Lonchura striata: one gene and its partner. The protein of the gene in region 2 interacts with the protein of the main gene of each other region in a pairwise test. Links are inferred from orthologs where the notes say so. Each region holds a gene or a part of one and is shown on either strand. Other genes may lie near its edges.

Region 1 (7,244 bases), on a different chromosome or scaffold from region 2:
CATAACTAATGAACTGCCATTTTTTGAACCAATGTACTACTTACACAATACATCACATGAAGATAAAGAACTAAATACACTATAGAACAGTGCAATGAGGGAAGCTTTGGCCTTTCTTCTTGAGCTTACTTTCTAAACCTAACCTGTCAAAGTCCAAACTTACTGAGATTTAGGATTCCTGATTTTGCTCTGCTTCAAAGGAATGTAGTTAAGCTGGGTGAGCCATGAGTGTGCAATCACTTCAACATCAAACTTCAGGTTTCAAGTGTTTACACAATAGCATTTACCCATGAACACAATTTTGAATTGTAACAAATTTTTAAGGTAGCACTGTTTTTTATATATATTAAATACACTAACATGAGGGTTAAGTGGTTGCGAGGGAACTTCACAATTTCCTCTTTCTTACAATCAATGCTTTCCTCTGGCCAGGAGGTAATTAGTTTTTGGGTGGGTGGCTGGGTATATTTTCACCTGTTGCTGACTCAGGACATTTGCTCTGTTGCCGTTCCTAATACTGACGTTAATTACTTTTTACAGCACACAGGTCCTACTGCCTCGGTTGTAATAAGATAATGTTGGGATGTATTATCATTTTCAGTAGACTTAATCCCTATCAAAATGTAACAGGATCTCAAAGTGAAAGTAAATATCAAAGACTAGAAGAGCCTTTAGACTATTTATTAAATAAGGGTCTTAAATAATACCTTTAATGACCCTAGTAATTTGTAATACAGTAATTGAATATTACAGGACTAGCATACAATAATGTTAACAACATTGAAATTGCTACAGACTGATAGACTTTTATGTAAGATCAAAATATGGCATCTGAAGTTATTCTGTATGGATGCTTCAGCTTCTACTGACTTTAGACAAAGTTAACTAAAACAGGAAGTTATACTAGCAAGTATTTAGGGAAATAAAGAATATTGTTCAAATTTTAGAATTGCTGTTGCATTCTAGCTTTATTCAGAGCAGTTAATCATAAACTAGAAATGTGAAATTGCAGCTTTAAAATAAAAACCAACAAAACAAAAAATACAGAGCTGAAATGAAACAGATCATAAAGTTTTTTTTCTACTTCCTAACAATATGAGAATAACTCTTCAGTTATTCTGTGTCTTCAGGTACGATCTTTGTATATTTGACCTCAGATGTAGAAAAATGTTCTACTCTTTGCTTGCCATTTTTTAATTTACACAATTATTTATTGTAAAATACAGCTAAAAATTTTTTAACACAATTTCTTTAACAAAAAGGGGGTTAAAACACTTATACAGTTTGGCAAAAACAGAAACAAAATATAATTTCATTGAGAATGTCCACTGTTCAGGAAGGAAGCCTTTTTAAGACTGTGTTCCCATGCACATCATCTATAGCAATAGTGCTCTGAAGCAATACTTGACAAATGGGTACATAAAAATATCGAATACACAGAATAATGACAGTCCCAGGGAGCAGGTGCTTACCCTGTCTGTGTAAGCACCCCTGGGCTGGCATTACCTTTGCAGCTGCCAGGTATTTGCAGCCCTGCCAGAAAAGGTTTCCAGCTCAGGTGAGCTCACTCCTGCAGCCCCCAGGCTCCCAAACACTTGTAGAAGCTGCCCCCATCCCTGCACTGCAGCACAGAGGGGCTTTAAAGCCCCTGTGCAGCTACAGCAGATCTGGCTTCAGCACCAAAGGGATGCCAGAGCTCTGGTAATGTTAAATTATATAACCAGCAAGGGAACTAGAGGATCACCTCCTGCTGAGCTCTGTAAAGATGTGTCCAGCAGCAGTACTGGGATTCACATGGCAGCAAGCTTTCTCTTCTGCAGTTAAACCAGTTGGAAGAAAATAAAGTGCTAAACTGCATAACTGCATTAATGAATATTCTGTCACAAGAACAAAGGAGCATATCATCTGTTAGGAATAATCAAAATAACAAACAGCATTCTTTCCAGGAGGTGACAATACCTACATAAAAGATGACCAGCAGTAGTTTTTAATCTGGGCATCAGAAAACTCTTTTATTGCCTTTTGAATGTATTTTGTCCGATGTTAAAATTCAGGAGGAGACCAATTACATTCTTCTGTGAAACAGCACATGTAGAAGAGAAGAAAACCAAAAATGCCAAAAGCTGCAATTCAGTGTGGTAAAACAAAATTCTGTCATTACATTCAGGTAATGTCTTGGAACCAAGGGAATTAGTGTGCTTATTAAACTTCTAAAAGAGGACAGGAATAGAAAAAGGTGATAAAACAGATGAATTAGAATCTTTTTTTGTATTAGGTCTAGATAGGATGCTGAGACACTTCAGAAGAATCTAATAAAACTGGAAAATTATCCAACATTATCAAATGACAGTTCAGCAAAAAGGCTCACTTCTGATGTCAGGACAGTTCAGTTTGCACACATGTTCAGGGAACAGCTTTGAGACCCTTTCCACAGAAACACTGGCTCAGGGAAAGGCTCAAATGCCTCCACCCACTAAGCCCTTCATCAGGCTGAGGCAAGGCCTGACTCAGCTTTCAGTCTCAAAATCACCATATCAAGAATGGACCACAGGGACTCTCTACAGAGAAATGTACATAATGACCATGATCAGGTAATCCAAGCTTATATGAACTTTATCTCCTGAAATACAGAAAATACTCTGAGTAAAACAGCTGTGATCACATAGCCTTTCTCAAATTTGCCATCTATGCACAACTTCTAGCAACAATGTATTTCAGTGTGTTTCATTGTATTCAGATCTCTTCAGTGAATTAATTTTTTGAGTATATAAAACATTTCACAGATCACATTACTATGTAACTACCACAAAATATTTAATACCTGGATACACAGATTTTCTATATTCTGTTGCTAGGTGATTCCTTAAGTTTATATAATAGCTCTCAATGGGTTTTTCTATTTCTTTTTTAAGAAATAAGTTGACATGTGTCTTCCTTAAACTGCAGATATTTACAGAAATCATTCTGAATGGATATTGAAAGAGAAATGTCTAGCCTGAATTGGTGCACAGGCCCTGACAATCTGAAAAACTGTTTGCAGAGTTACAGTGGCTTTAATAAATACTTCCATGTTGACAAACACCCATAAATATACATCCCTTCAGTTTCACTGCGCACAGGGTTCCTTCGTAGCACTGCCAGAAGTCCTTAAGAAAAAGTAATTTGCTTTGCCAAGGCAACTCCAGAAACTAAGTCCATAACTGCCCTGGGGAAAATGCAGTAGCCTGTCTCTCAGCAAACTTTATGCAAGTTTTCTCTTAAATAACTGCCATTAGAAATCCTCGCTCAGCACTTCTTTTACAAATAATTCTTAAAAAGTAAAGCTGCCCCTATGGCACAATGATTTCTAGACTGTTTTTTCTGCTTCTCTCCCCCCTACACTCAATATATGAGCAAGATAAATCGCTACAGAACCTGCAGCTCATTCTACTAGGGAGCAGTAGATTTAACAGCAAAGCCAAAAGAAGTCCCAAAATGTTCAATCCCCAATTTATCTTCTGTTCTCATCCAAGTAGCAATGAAGACATAGTGAGTCTGCCAACCCTGGGAGTGATGCGATAATTCTTGGTACAAAAACTTGTAAACTAACAAGAACACTGAGAAATGTGACTCTTCACCACCTCAATGGTTTTTTATGAACAATAAAGATCTTAATAACAAGCTGTGCAAATAAAAAAGTCTCTGATGTTGTAATTTATGAGAGATCAGCAAATCCAGGAGGTCCAGAAAGGTGTCTGGCCCTTTGGTGAGCAGGCTGACAGTTCTGCTTCCCCATGGACAAGTACAGAACCATATTTACTAACAGGCTTGAGCATATTTCTGCCGAAGCACTGATGGAAAGTGGGGGGGTTATTTGTGCTCAGGCTTTTGCATTTCAGACAGGAAGACACTGCTCTGCCTGGACTGAACTAATTAAGGGCTAATTGACTGTCTAGCACCTATAAAGGGATAACTCACCCATGCCATCTCCCACTGGAAACTGCAATGACTATTAGCATAGAAAGGATTGTTTATTTCGTGGTCAGCATAAGACAGTCATAAGTATTTGTTAGTAAGAGCAGAAAGAGGGCAGATGAGGATATGGATGTTTTTAATGGATGACTAAATCTGGGTAGCTTGATCTCCTTTCATGCTGTGGATGTTGTGTGCTGCAGTCACGCCTCTCGCTGCCAGCCTGCACTGGGATGATAATCACTCACTATGAAAACTCATTAGCTCCACAGCAATGAGCCCTCCACTGCTGAAGCTTGGTGCTGTTCTTAGTACCATGGCAATGATCTCTAACTGGATGTCCCAAACTCTCCCTTCTCTGGTAGGACTAAATACCACCAGAATAACCACTTCAGATACTCTAGTAAGTAGCTGTTATATGTCGCAAGCTATCTTAATGCTGAATTAGTATTTAAGTGCCAGCAAAAGCATTAGTTTGTTGTCTCTTTGTAAATCTCTTTTTTAGCTACTAATCTTCCTATCATCTCTTAATGCATGCTTCTTTTTGGGCATCATAAAACTGCAGGTGAGCATGTTGTGGTCTTACAATGAAAGGGAAGGTTTTGAAATAGTATCCTTAAATATGTAAGAACAAATGCCTTCATCTTGAACATGAAATGCTAAAAAGAGTAAAGCAATGTCTTTTCATTTGTCTAGACTGTTCTTCCTATCTTTAATGCTCCAGAAAAATGCATTGTGTTGTTTAGAAAATTATATCTGGCAGTACCTTTATTTTTGAAAATTTGATAATGTTACCTAGTAACTATTCACTACAATATGCAAAGTGTCTGATTCTTTCCTATTTTTCTTTATTGGAATACAGTTAAACAAATAAATAGCTGTTAGAAACAAAATAAAATTGGTACTAGGGGGCTAGATACCAGAATTTTTGAAAGGGTGATAATGGGAATAACACAAATTACAGAAATATCACTTTGTAACATTAACATTCATATACAGCAGCCTCAGTTAATAAAAACCTACAGGAAAGCTGTGAATAGCTATGAACTCATGAGAAGCCGAAACAGTCAAGTAACTTTTTACTTTAGAGGGAACACTATCCTGGTATCCATAAGTTATATTAGAACATAATTTTCCTAAATGCTTAGTAAAACACTCTTGTCAATGTAACTTTTTGTGTGACTGCAATCAGATGTTTACATAATAGTAGGTTATGTAAAATATAAATGTAACTGTAGTAGCTCACAATTCTCAAAACTCAGAATTTTGTAACTAAAAATTATGCATTTACTAATCAAGATGGAATAATTTAATATATGCGTGCAGGAAAAGTACTATTGTAGAAAATCACTGTATTTAGTATATAAATATTACTACTTTAAAATTAATTATGTTGTAAGAAAAATTCAGTTATCTTTTAGAGCAGCAAGATGAGAATACAAAGAAAAGCTCTATTTTATTTTCCTTACTGAGTCACAGTATATATTGCTAGTTCTTGTAGCTGTATATTGTAAGTAGAAGTTCCCTATCACATTTACATCCAAGTTTAAAGTGGCAACTGAGTAACTACAAGATGCACACTAGTTTTTATGATATTGATATATATATATATATATTTATACACAAACACAAATACATGTGTTTGTACTGATATGTTCAGATTCCAAGTAGTACAAAGTGTCATGGAGCCCTTGGCTACAACAGGGCACTGCTGATGGAAATGCCTTCTAAATATTATTTCAAGAATGCTCTTTTCACTCATCGAGTTGAGCTATATGCATATTTTTTGTTTTGATAAGGGTAGCAAGAGTTCCAGTAGAGCTGGGAAAGTGATCATAAAATCTTGATTATCTGAGCTTGGCAACATCTGCCAAATAAAGAAAACATGAATTTTAGTCATGTAGAATTCTTTTTACACAAAACTGAGCACCACGAATCTGGTACCTTTCTTAAAACTGTAGATGTTGGTTAAAAGACTTTATGCCCCAAGTGCTCAGTAATAGCAGGGTCATTGCTGACTGATTTTTGGCTGCCATCCAGAGTTCCCCACTTGCAGCTTCTCTAGTGAACTTTGCAGCAGGAGCACTTCTCTAGAATTTCTCTCTTAGCACATACACAGCTCACAAATTGTGTATATTGTGCAATGTAAAAGAAAGAAAAAAACCTCCCAATTTCCTCCCTTCAGCTGGAAGAATTGTAGAAGCATGTGGAGTCAGATAAAGGGTCTCCTCTTTTGAGCTCTGTTTCAGTACCAGGGTTGAAACTGCAAGACAAACCATCTTCAATTACTTCTTCAGAGGAGTCACTGTTGTGAAAAGCCTGTGTTCTTTTCTTACCTGAGTCCACAAAGATACTGGCACCACTTTAGAGATGAGGAACTCTGCAACTCCTCCACTAAGCTGCCAGGAAGGCATCAATATCAAAGCTTCCCAGTTTAAATAATCACTTTCTCTGCTGGCACTGAGTACAATTTTATAATATAAATAGCAACAGATTCCAACTGTGTCCAGACCAAAATTACTTCAGTTATATCCATTAGCATCTGTACCATGAAATTCATCACTCAATGCAATATTAGAAAAGAATAAAGCACAATATTAACTTTAAATTACAGTTTAGTTTAAAAGGGAAGTTCAAAAACTGTTTCTTTTACCTATTAAGTTCCATCACTTGAATGCTTTCAGTCATGTCATTATATTGTTTTCTGTCATTCCTACACTATTTTTGTACATCCCATTAAAGGGATACCAAAAAAGTGTTACCCTGCTCTGCAAACAAATGTGATTTTTTTTTTTTTTTGCCTTTCTTTCTCAGTTGTGGTTGCTGTAAAAAAGAACAGATTATGAATTTCCAGTTTTTTGCTATCCCAGTGAAGGACATGCAGTGTCTTAATGGCCCTGTGGCTTGCTTGCCATGAGCCCCATTCCCCTGGCCTAAGCAGACACTTTTCCATCCCACCCTGAGCAAGCCCCTGGTTCCCTTGGCTACTGCAGTGGAAGCCCAGGGAGAACAGTTCCTGAGAGCTGCAGCTTCAAGAGCACACCAGTCCCCCACATCCAAACTGCTGCTGAGCCACTTGCCACCCGTGAGTCACACACTGTGCTCTCCCCAGGCTCTATGTTTGTTCTTTCCTGTCTTTGTTGTTTCCATTAGTCTAAAGTAAAAGTCATCCAGGCTGAAAGGACACGTTTGTTCTCTGCTGCTGAAAAACTGTAACTTCCCTTTGCAAAGAATTAAATCAGCTGTTTTGTGCTGAATCACAAGCAGAATACCATTCTCATCCACCCTGGAAA
Region 2 (7,343 bases):
GGCGGGCCGGGGGCGGCCCCAGGCCGGTCCCGAGCTGCCCCCGCGGTCTCTCCCCGCAGATGAGCAGCAAGCGCTCCAGCAGCTTCAAGCGCGCCATCGCCAACGGGCAGCGGGCGCTGCCCCGCGACGTCCTGCTGGACGAGACCGGCCTCGGCATCTACAAACGCTTCGTCCGCTACGTGGCCTACGAGATCCTGCCCTGCGAGATGGACCGGCGCTGGTACTTCTACCAGCACCGCACCTGCCCGCCCCCCGTCTTCATGGCAGCCGTCACCCTCACCCAGGTACGGCACGGCGGGAGGGTCCCGGGGACCTCGGCAGGGATCAGACCGGGGCGGGCAGCACGGTTGTGAGCTGCTGTGCACGCAGAGCTGACCTGAAGGGATGTGTGACCCTGCAGGTGACAGCTTTGTGCCCACACCTGGGGCGGTGGGGCTGGGGGGCCCCAGTCGTGATGTTCTGGTGCCCACAGAGGGGCTCAGATAGGGGGTGAAGGTTTGGGTGACCCTCGCTGTGATGTCCTGGTGCGTTTGGTGGTGCTGAGACCCGGGACAGAGGTGGATGGGTGACCCCAGTGGTGATGTTCTTGTGCTCATGGGTGGGACCCATGGAGGGGCTCAGATCCAGGGTAGGAGGAACGGGTGACCCCAGCTGTGATGTCCTGGTGCCCTTGGGGGGCTCACATCTGGGGCGAAGGGAGTGAGGACCCTGTCTGTGACCTCCTTGTGCCCACGCGTGGGACTCAGAGCTGGGGCAGGGGGGATGGGTGACCCCAGCTGTGACATCCTGGTGCCCTTGTGGGGCTCAGATGTGGGGTGAAGGGGGGTGACAGCCACGGGGTTTGTCACAGATCATCGTGTTCCTGTGCTACGGGGCCCGGCTGAACAAGTGGGTGCTGCAGACCTACCACCCCGAGTACATGAAGAGCCCCCTGGTCTATCACCCCGGGCACCGGGCGCGCGCCTGGCGCTTCCTCACCTACATGTTCATGCACGTGGGGTAGGTCCCGCTGGGGGGGGACGCTGGGGACATCCCGGGGGCTCTGCAGGCTGAGCCTGTCCCCTCCTGTGCCCGGGCAGGCTGGAGCAGCTGGGGTTCAACGCCCTCCTGCAGCTGATGATCGGGGTGCCCCTGGAGATGGTGCACGGCATCCTGCGCATCAGCTTCCTCTACCTGGCCGGGGTCCTGGCAGGTGGGTGCTCCCCGGGGGGACTGTCCCCATCCCCCCCGTCCCTGTCACCAGCCCGGGGGGGCACGGGGAGGTCACACCGAGTTTGGTGGGGATGCTGGGCTCTGCTGGCTGCCACCCTGCAGTGCCAGCATCACTCGGCCAGGGGCTGGGGGGCAATGCAGGCTGTAATTAATTAATGTAGACAGTAATTAATGAATGCTGTGGGGGCGAGACCCCGTGCTGAGCCCTGTCTGTGCCCCCAGGCTCCCTCACGGTCTCCATCACGGACATGAGGGCCCCCCTGGTCGGGGGCTCGGGGGGGGTCTACGCCCTCTGCTCTGCTCACCTCGCCAACGTCGTCATGGTCAGCCAGGGGACAAGGGGACACAGAAGGGGGGACAGGGGTGGATGACTCTGTAGGGTGGGCAGCACGGTGGGGGATGCCATGGGGTGACAATGGGGACGGGAGCTGTCTGCAGGTTGGGCATGGTGGTGGGACATTATGGAGGGATGCCATGGGGTGGCTGGCACTGTGGGTGGGCAGCATTGGTGGGGGATGCTGTGGGGTGGCATTAGGGGTGGCACTGTCACAGAGGGACCACCTTGGGAGACATGGGGTGGGTGTGGGTGGGAAGGAGCAGGGACCTGAGGGGGCTCCATGGGGCATTCCAGGGGCTCTGGCAGCAGTCCCCACCTCTGTGCTGGAGCATTGCTTGTGCCAGCCCATCATCCGTCCATCCATCCATCCATCCATCCATCATCCATCCATCCATCCATCCATCATCCATCATCCATCCATCCATCATCCATCCATCCATCCCTTGTCCATCCATCCATCCATCCATCATCCATCATCCATCCATCCATCCATCCATCATCCATCCATCCATCCATCCATCTATCATCCATCCATCCATCCCTTGTCCATCCATCCATCCATCATCCATCATCCATCCATCCATCCCTTGTCCATCCATCCATCCATCCATCCATCCATCCATCCATCCATCCTTCATCCATCCATCCCTCCCTCCCTCCCTCCTCGCTGCCGTTCCCGCAGAACTGGGCCGGGATGCGCTGTCCCTACAAGCTGCTGCGGATGGTGCTGGCGCTGGTGTGCAGTGAGTACCGCCCCCGTCCCTGGCCCCGGCCGCGCGGCCCCGGGCGGGCTCAGCAGCTCCGGCCCGTCCCGCAGTGAGCTCCGAGGTCGGCCGCGCCGTCTGGCTCCGCTTCTCGCCGCCGCTGCCGGCCTCGGGGCCGCAGCCCAGCTTCATGGCGCACCTGGCGGGGGCCATCGTGGGCATCAGCATGGGGCTGACCATCCTGCGCAGCTACGAGGAGAGCCTGCAGGACCAGTGCGGCTGGTGGGTGCTGCTGCTGTCCTACGGCACCTTCCTGCTCTTCGCCGTCTTCTGGAACATCTTCGCCTACGACCTGCTGGGGGCACAGATCCCCCCCCCGCCCTAGCCCGCCCCCTCGCCCCGACCCTGCGGTTCGTTTGTTTGCCGAGCCCGGCGGAGGGGCTGGGGGGTCCCCGCGCGTGACATGGGGACAGGCCACCCCGCCGCCCGTCCCCTCGGTGCTAGCGAGCGCGCCGCCCGCCCCGGTGTCCCCGCCGCCCCCGCTGTGCCCGGCCCCAGGGGAAGCTCCGGCCCCGCCCCGGCGCCGCCGCCCCTCGGGAAGGAGCCGGGCCCGGGGACCCCCGCCGGCTCCCGGACCCCCTTTCCAGGACCTGCACTTGCACACGAAGGACTGGTGCCAAAAGAGGAGCCATTTATTTTTCTATGCCAAAATAAATATAAATAAAAGAAAGAGGAATAATAATAATAATAATAATAAAAAAGAATAAAAAGAAGGATACGGGGAGAGCCCGGCAGGAATCGGCTGAGACCGGCACAATCATTTTGGCAGTGCCCTCGGAGGCACAGCCCCCCTCCCCGCGCCCCGGGCCCGCTTTGCTGACCCCCGGCACGGGGGCCTGGCTCGGGATGGGGGCGCGGGGGGTCCCCGCTCTAACCCCCCCCAGACCTTTTTGAAGTATAAATAAATATTTTGCACACTGCGGGGGCTCGTGTCTCTGTCGGGGGCGGGGGTTTGGGGGTGCCCCCATCCCCGATGGGCGGCGGGGCGGGGGCTCAGCCGGGCTCGGGAATTACTGGAGCAGAAAACTCCGGGATCAGTGGAGCGGCGCCGGGCCGGGCCCCGCGGGGCTGGGGCGCGGGGGTGAGGGGGGGTCTGCAGACCACCCCGCTCCCTGCACCCCCCGCTGCAGCGCACACAGCGCTGGCTGCAGGCGCCGGACCCGCCCCACTCACACCCCCAAACCCCCAACCCCCTACTCACACCCACCCCCCATCAGCTCCGTGCCGCCTCCCCCATCCCCCTTTTCATTCACCCCCATCCCCTCCAGCCAGGCCCCTCATCCATCCTGCACTACTCTGTACGCCCCCCTCCCATCAAACCCCATAAACCCATAAACACCATCAACCCCATCAAACCCCATCAAACCCCACAGACCCCACAAACCCCATAAACCCCACAATCCCTATCAAACCCCACAAACCCCATAAACCCATAAACACCATCAACCCCATCAAACCCCATAAACCCCACAAACCCTATCAAACCCCATCAAACCCCATAAACCCCACAAACCGCATAAACCCCATCAAACCCCATCAAACCCCGTAAACCCCACAAACCCCATCAAATCCCATCAAACCCCATCAAACCCCATAAACCCCACAAACCCCATCAAATCCCATCAAACCCCATCAAACCCCATAAACCCCACAAACCCCATCAAACCCCTCAAACCCCACAAACCCCATTAAAGTCCATAAACCCACAAACCACACCCCAATGCCCTCCATCCACCATCCCCTATTCAATCCCATAATCCACACCCAGGCCACGCCCACCCGGCACTGACCACGCCCCCGCCAATCTGTCTTTAGCCCCGCCCACCGCGGGCGCCCCGCCCAATCCGCCGGGCTGGCCACGCCCCTCATATGCATATCCCCGCCCCTTGCCGTTAGCCCCGCCCACCGGGCACCGTCCCGTCCTGCCGAGGCCCCGCCCCGCCCCGCCCCGGAAGCGGCGCTGTCGCAGTGCGCGGCGGAGCCGGAGCCGCCGGGGCTGCCGGGGCTGCCGAGGCCGCCGAGCCAGCGGAGCCGCCGGGGCCGCCGAGCCAGCGGAGCCGCGGCCCCAGCGCCGGCCCGGGCCGCGCCATGAAGGGCAAGGAGGAGCGCGAGGGCGGCGCGGCGGGGCCCGGCGCGGCGGGGCCGGGCGCGGGGGGCGCGGGTGGCGGCAGCCCCGAGAAGAGCCACAGCGCGCAGGAGCACAAGGAGCAGGGGAACCGGCTCTTCGGCGGCCGCAAGTACCCCGAGGCCGCCGCCTGCTACGGCCGCGCCATCGTGAGTCCCGGCGGCGCCCCCGGCCCCAGCGGGACCGGCCCCGCCACGGGAGCTCCGGGGAGGGGACGCCCCGGCCTGGGTACCCCGGGACGGGACACACCAACCTCCCCCCTGGCCTCGATGGCCCCGGGCTGGAACCTCCCCCCTGGCCTGGACACCCGCCCGGAGCTGGCCTGGCCAGCGCTGGGTGGGGTCCCCAGGGATGGGACAGCCCCCACACACCGGGCCGTGACTCCCGCAAGATGGGACATCCATCCTGCCTCCCCCCTGCCTGGACATCTCCCGGGCCCTGGCCTGGGCATCACCAGGATGGAACCTCCTCGGGCTGGGCGCTGTTCTTCCTCAGGGCCTGGCCAAGACACCCCTGACATGGGACCTTTTAATCTGGACACTGTTCCCTCCCTGAGCCTGGCTCCTCCTGGGGAGGGCTGGACACAGCTCTGGGCCTGCTTCCCCCCATTCCTGGGCCTGGACTACCACCCCTAGGCCTGGCCTAGGCACCCCCCGACCCTGGCCCGCTCTCTGGACTTGGACACCCCCAGCCCATCCTCTCCCCACCCCACTCCAAGCTGGCCTGCCCTGCACCCCCTGAGCCTGTTTCCCCAAGCCCCGCACTGTCCCTGGGCTGTGCTGGGTAGGGCAGACCCAGCCTGGGACAGTCGAGGTGTCTGGGGGACAGTCCCCTGTGGGGGCTGGGCCATGGGCTGCCCTATGGGGACCGGCCCCAGCCCGTCCCCAATCCATGCCAGCACCTCCCCACGGGGTGCACACCCTGGCTGGCACTGCTGGCTCTCCCTGCCCAGGGTGACGGCGCCGTGCCGCTGGCTCACCGAGTCACCGGGCTGTCACCAGCACGTCCCGGCCCTGCCGCCGGCACCGACATGGGCCTGTCCCTGCAGAACCGGAACCCCTTGGTGGCCGTGTACTACACCAACCGGGCCCTGTGCTACCTGAAGATGCAGCAGCACGACAAGGCGCTGGCCGACTGCAAGCGGGCGCTGGAGCTGGACGGGCAGTCCGTGAAGGCTCACTTCTTCCTGGGCCAGTGCCAGATGGAGATGGAAAACTACGACGAGGCCATCGCCAACCTGCAGAGAGGTGAGCGGGCACGCTGCCACTGTCCCCTGCTCCTGTCGGCTGGGAAAGGGCCAGGGAGGGCGACAGGGACGCTGGCGCTGGGGTGCCCTTTCTCTCCTCAGCCTACAACCTCGCCAAGGAGCAGCGGCTGAATTTCGGGGATGACATCCCCAGTGCGCTGCGCATCGCCAAGAAGAAGCGCTGGAACAGCATTGAGGAGAAGCGCATCAACCAGGAGAACGAGCTGCACTCCCACCTCACCAAGCTGATCGTGGCCGAGAAGGAGAGGTAACGGGGCACCTGGAGAAGCTTTTTGAGTGCCACCAGGCTGTCACTGCTCTGTGTGAGGTGTCTCTGCAGAGCCCTGCAGCAGGGAAGGGAGTGCCAGTGTTCCCCATCCTCCTGATGTCCCACTCTGTCCTAGGGAGCTGGCGGAGTGCCGAAAGACTCAGCAGGAGGAAAACACAGACGAGAGCCGGAGCCGTGTTCAGCTGGCCAGCATCGAGGCCAAACACGTGAGTGGGGGGCTGGGGGCTTCCCCGTCCCCATCCTCGTCCCCATCCTTGTCCTCAGGCTCTGCTGCACCCAGGGAAGCGGCAGGGCTGCAGCTGTGCAGGTGAAAGCTGGGAGACCTTGGGACCGTAGCCTTCATTCTGTAGCTCGAGCCACCACTGCAGGCCTGTTGTGTCCCCCCATGATGGCTTCCCCTGCTCTGCCACCTCTTGTCCCAGCCTGGCAGCGGTGACACCTGCTGTGCCTGTTGTTCCCTGAGGAAACACAAGTGGCTCTCAGCCACATGTGGGTCTGGGTGCTGGGGACTAATCCCAGATAAAAATAGGCCCACAAAGGAAGGTTATTTGTAAGCTGGATTGCTCCTGCCAGCTTCAGCCAGGAGCTGCACAGGCAGAGGGGGCACCAAGGACCGGCCACAGCACCCATGATGGGAGGCTTTGGGGCTCTCCCTGGGGTCCTGTAGCCCCTGCACACCAGGGACCCCTTGTCCTCAAGAGCTTCTCTTTCAGGACAAATACCTGGCAGACATGGACGAGCTCTTCTCCCAAGTGGACGAGAAGAGGAAGGTGAGTGTGGCCCAGCCTGTGCTCCTGTAAACCTTCTGTGTACCCTGCTCCCCGCTCTGAGCCAGCACCACCTCCCAGCCCCCTTTCCTGACCCAGCTGTGCCTCTCTCGAGACAGAAGCGGGACATCCCTGACTACCTGTGTGGGAAGATCAGTTTTGAGCTGATGAGAGAGCCCTGCATCACGCCCAGCGGGATCACCTACGACAGGAAGGACATTGAGGAGCATCTCCAGGTACTGCAGGGGGCTTTCCCAGGACCTTGCCTGGGTGGGAAGGCATATTTTTGCTGAACTCGGGGCTCCACAGGCTCCTTGGGTTTGGTCCCAGTTACCTGCCCGGGCAGCTCCCTGTGGAGCAGGTGCTGCCAGGCCCTGCCCAAAGCGGAGGCGGCTCTTGGCGGGGGTCTCACACCTTGACCTGCCCTCATCCTGCTGGGAGGCACCTCTGAGGGGCTCTCCCTCTTCCTGCGGGCAGGTGCCCGGGTGCCAGGGCAGATGCCACGCGGCGCTGGCCTCACGCCGCCTGCGCCTCGGGGCTGAGCGCGGGCACGTGGAGTAACCGGTTTCCCCGCGCTCCTCCCCGCAGCGCGTGGGGCATTTC

What was found. The genes of interacting proteins can lie anywhere in the genome.
Region 1: the proteins of STUB1 (region 2) and OLFM3 interact in binary tests that used the Homo sapiens proteins (3 or more experiments, as listed by UniProt). The two-hybrid records come from large-scale screens. The link is inferred for Lonchura striata from reciprocal best matches to the Homo sapiens genes STUB1 and OLFM3.

Annotation. Positions count from the first base shown.
Region 1 is NC_134611.1:23,251,659-23,258,902, reverse strand, and holds the start of OLFM3 (noelin-3), read left to right. Parts: upstream 1-4,225; coding exon 4,226-4,361; coding exon of another isoform or gene 4,362-4,371; intron 4,372-5,759; coding exon of another isoform or gene 5,760-5,766; intron 5,767-7,244.
Region 2 is NC_134618.1:3,128,795-3,136,137, reverse strand, and holds the start of STUB1 (E3 ubiquitin-protein ligase CHIP), read left to right. Parts: upstream 1-4,335; 5' UTR 4,336-4,401; coding exon 4,402-4,587; intron 4,588-5,486; coding exon 5,487-5,685; intron 5,686-5,786; coding exon 5,787-5,952; intron 5,953-6,088; coding exon 6,089-6,179; intron 6,180-6,686; coding exon 6,687-6,743; intron 6,744-6,859; coding exon 6,860-6,976; intron 6,977-7,328; coding exon 7,329-7,343. Other genes in the region: RHBDL1 (rhomboid-related protein 1), read left to right, coding at 60-284, 851-999, 1,080-1,192, 1,435-1,535, 2,232-2,292, 2,367-2,638. UniProt on the Homo sapiens protein: E3 ubiquitin-protein ligase which targets misfolded chaperone substrates towards proteasomal degradation.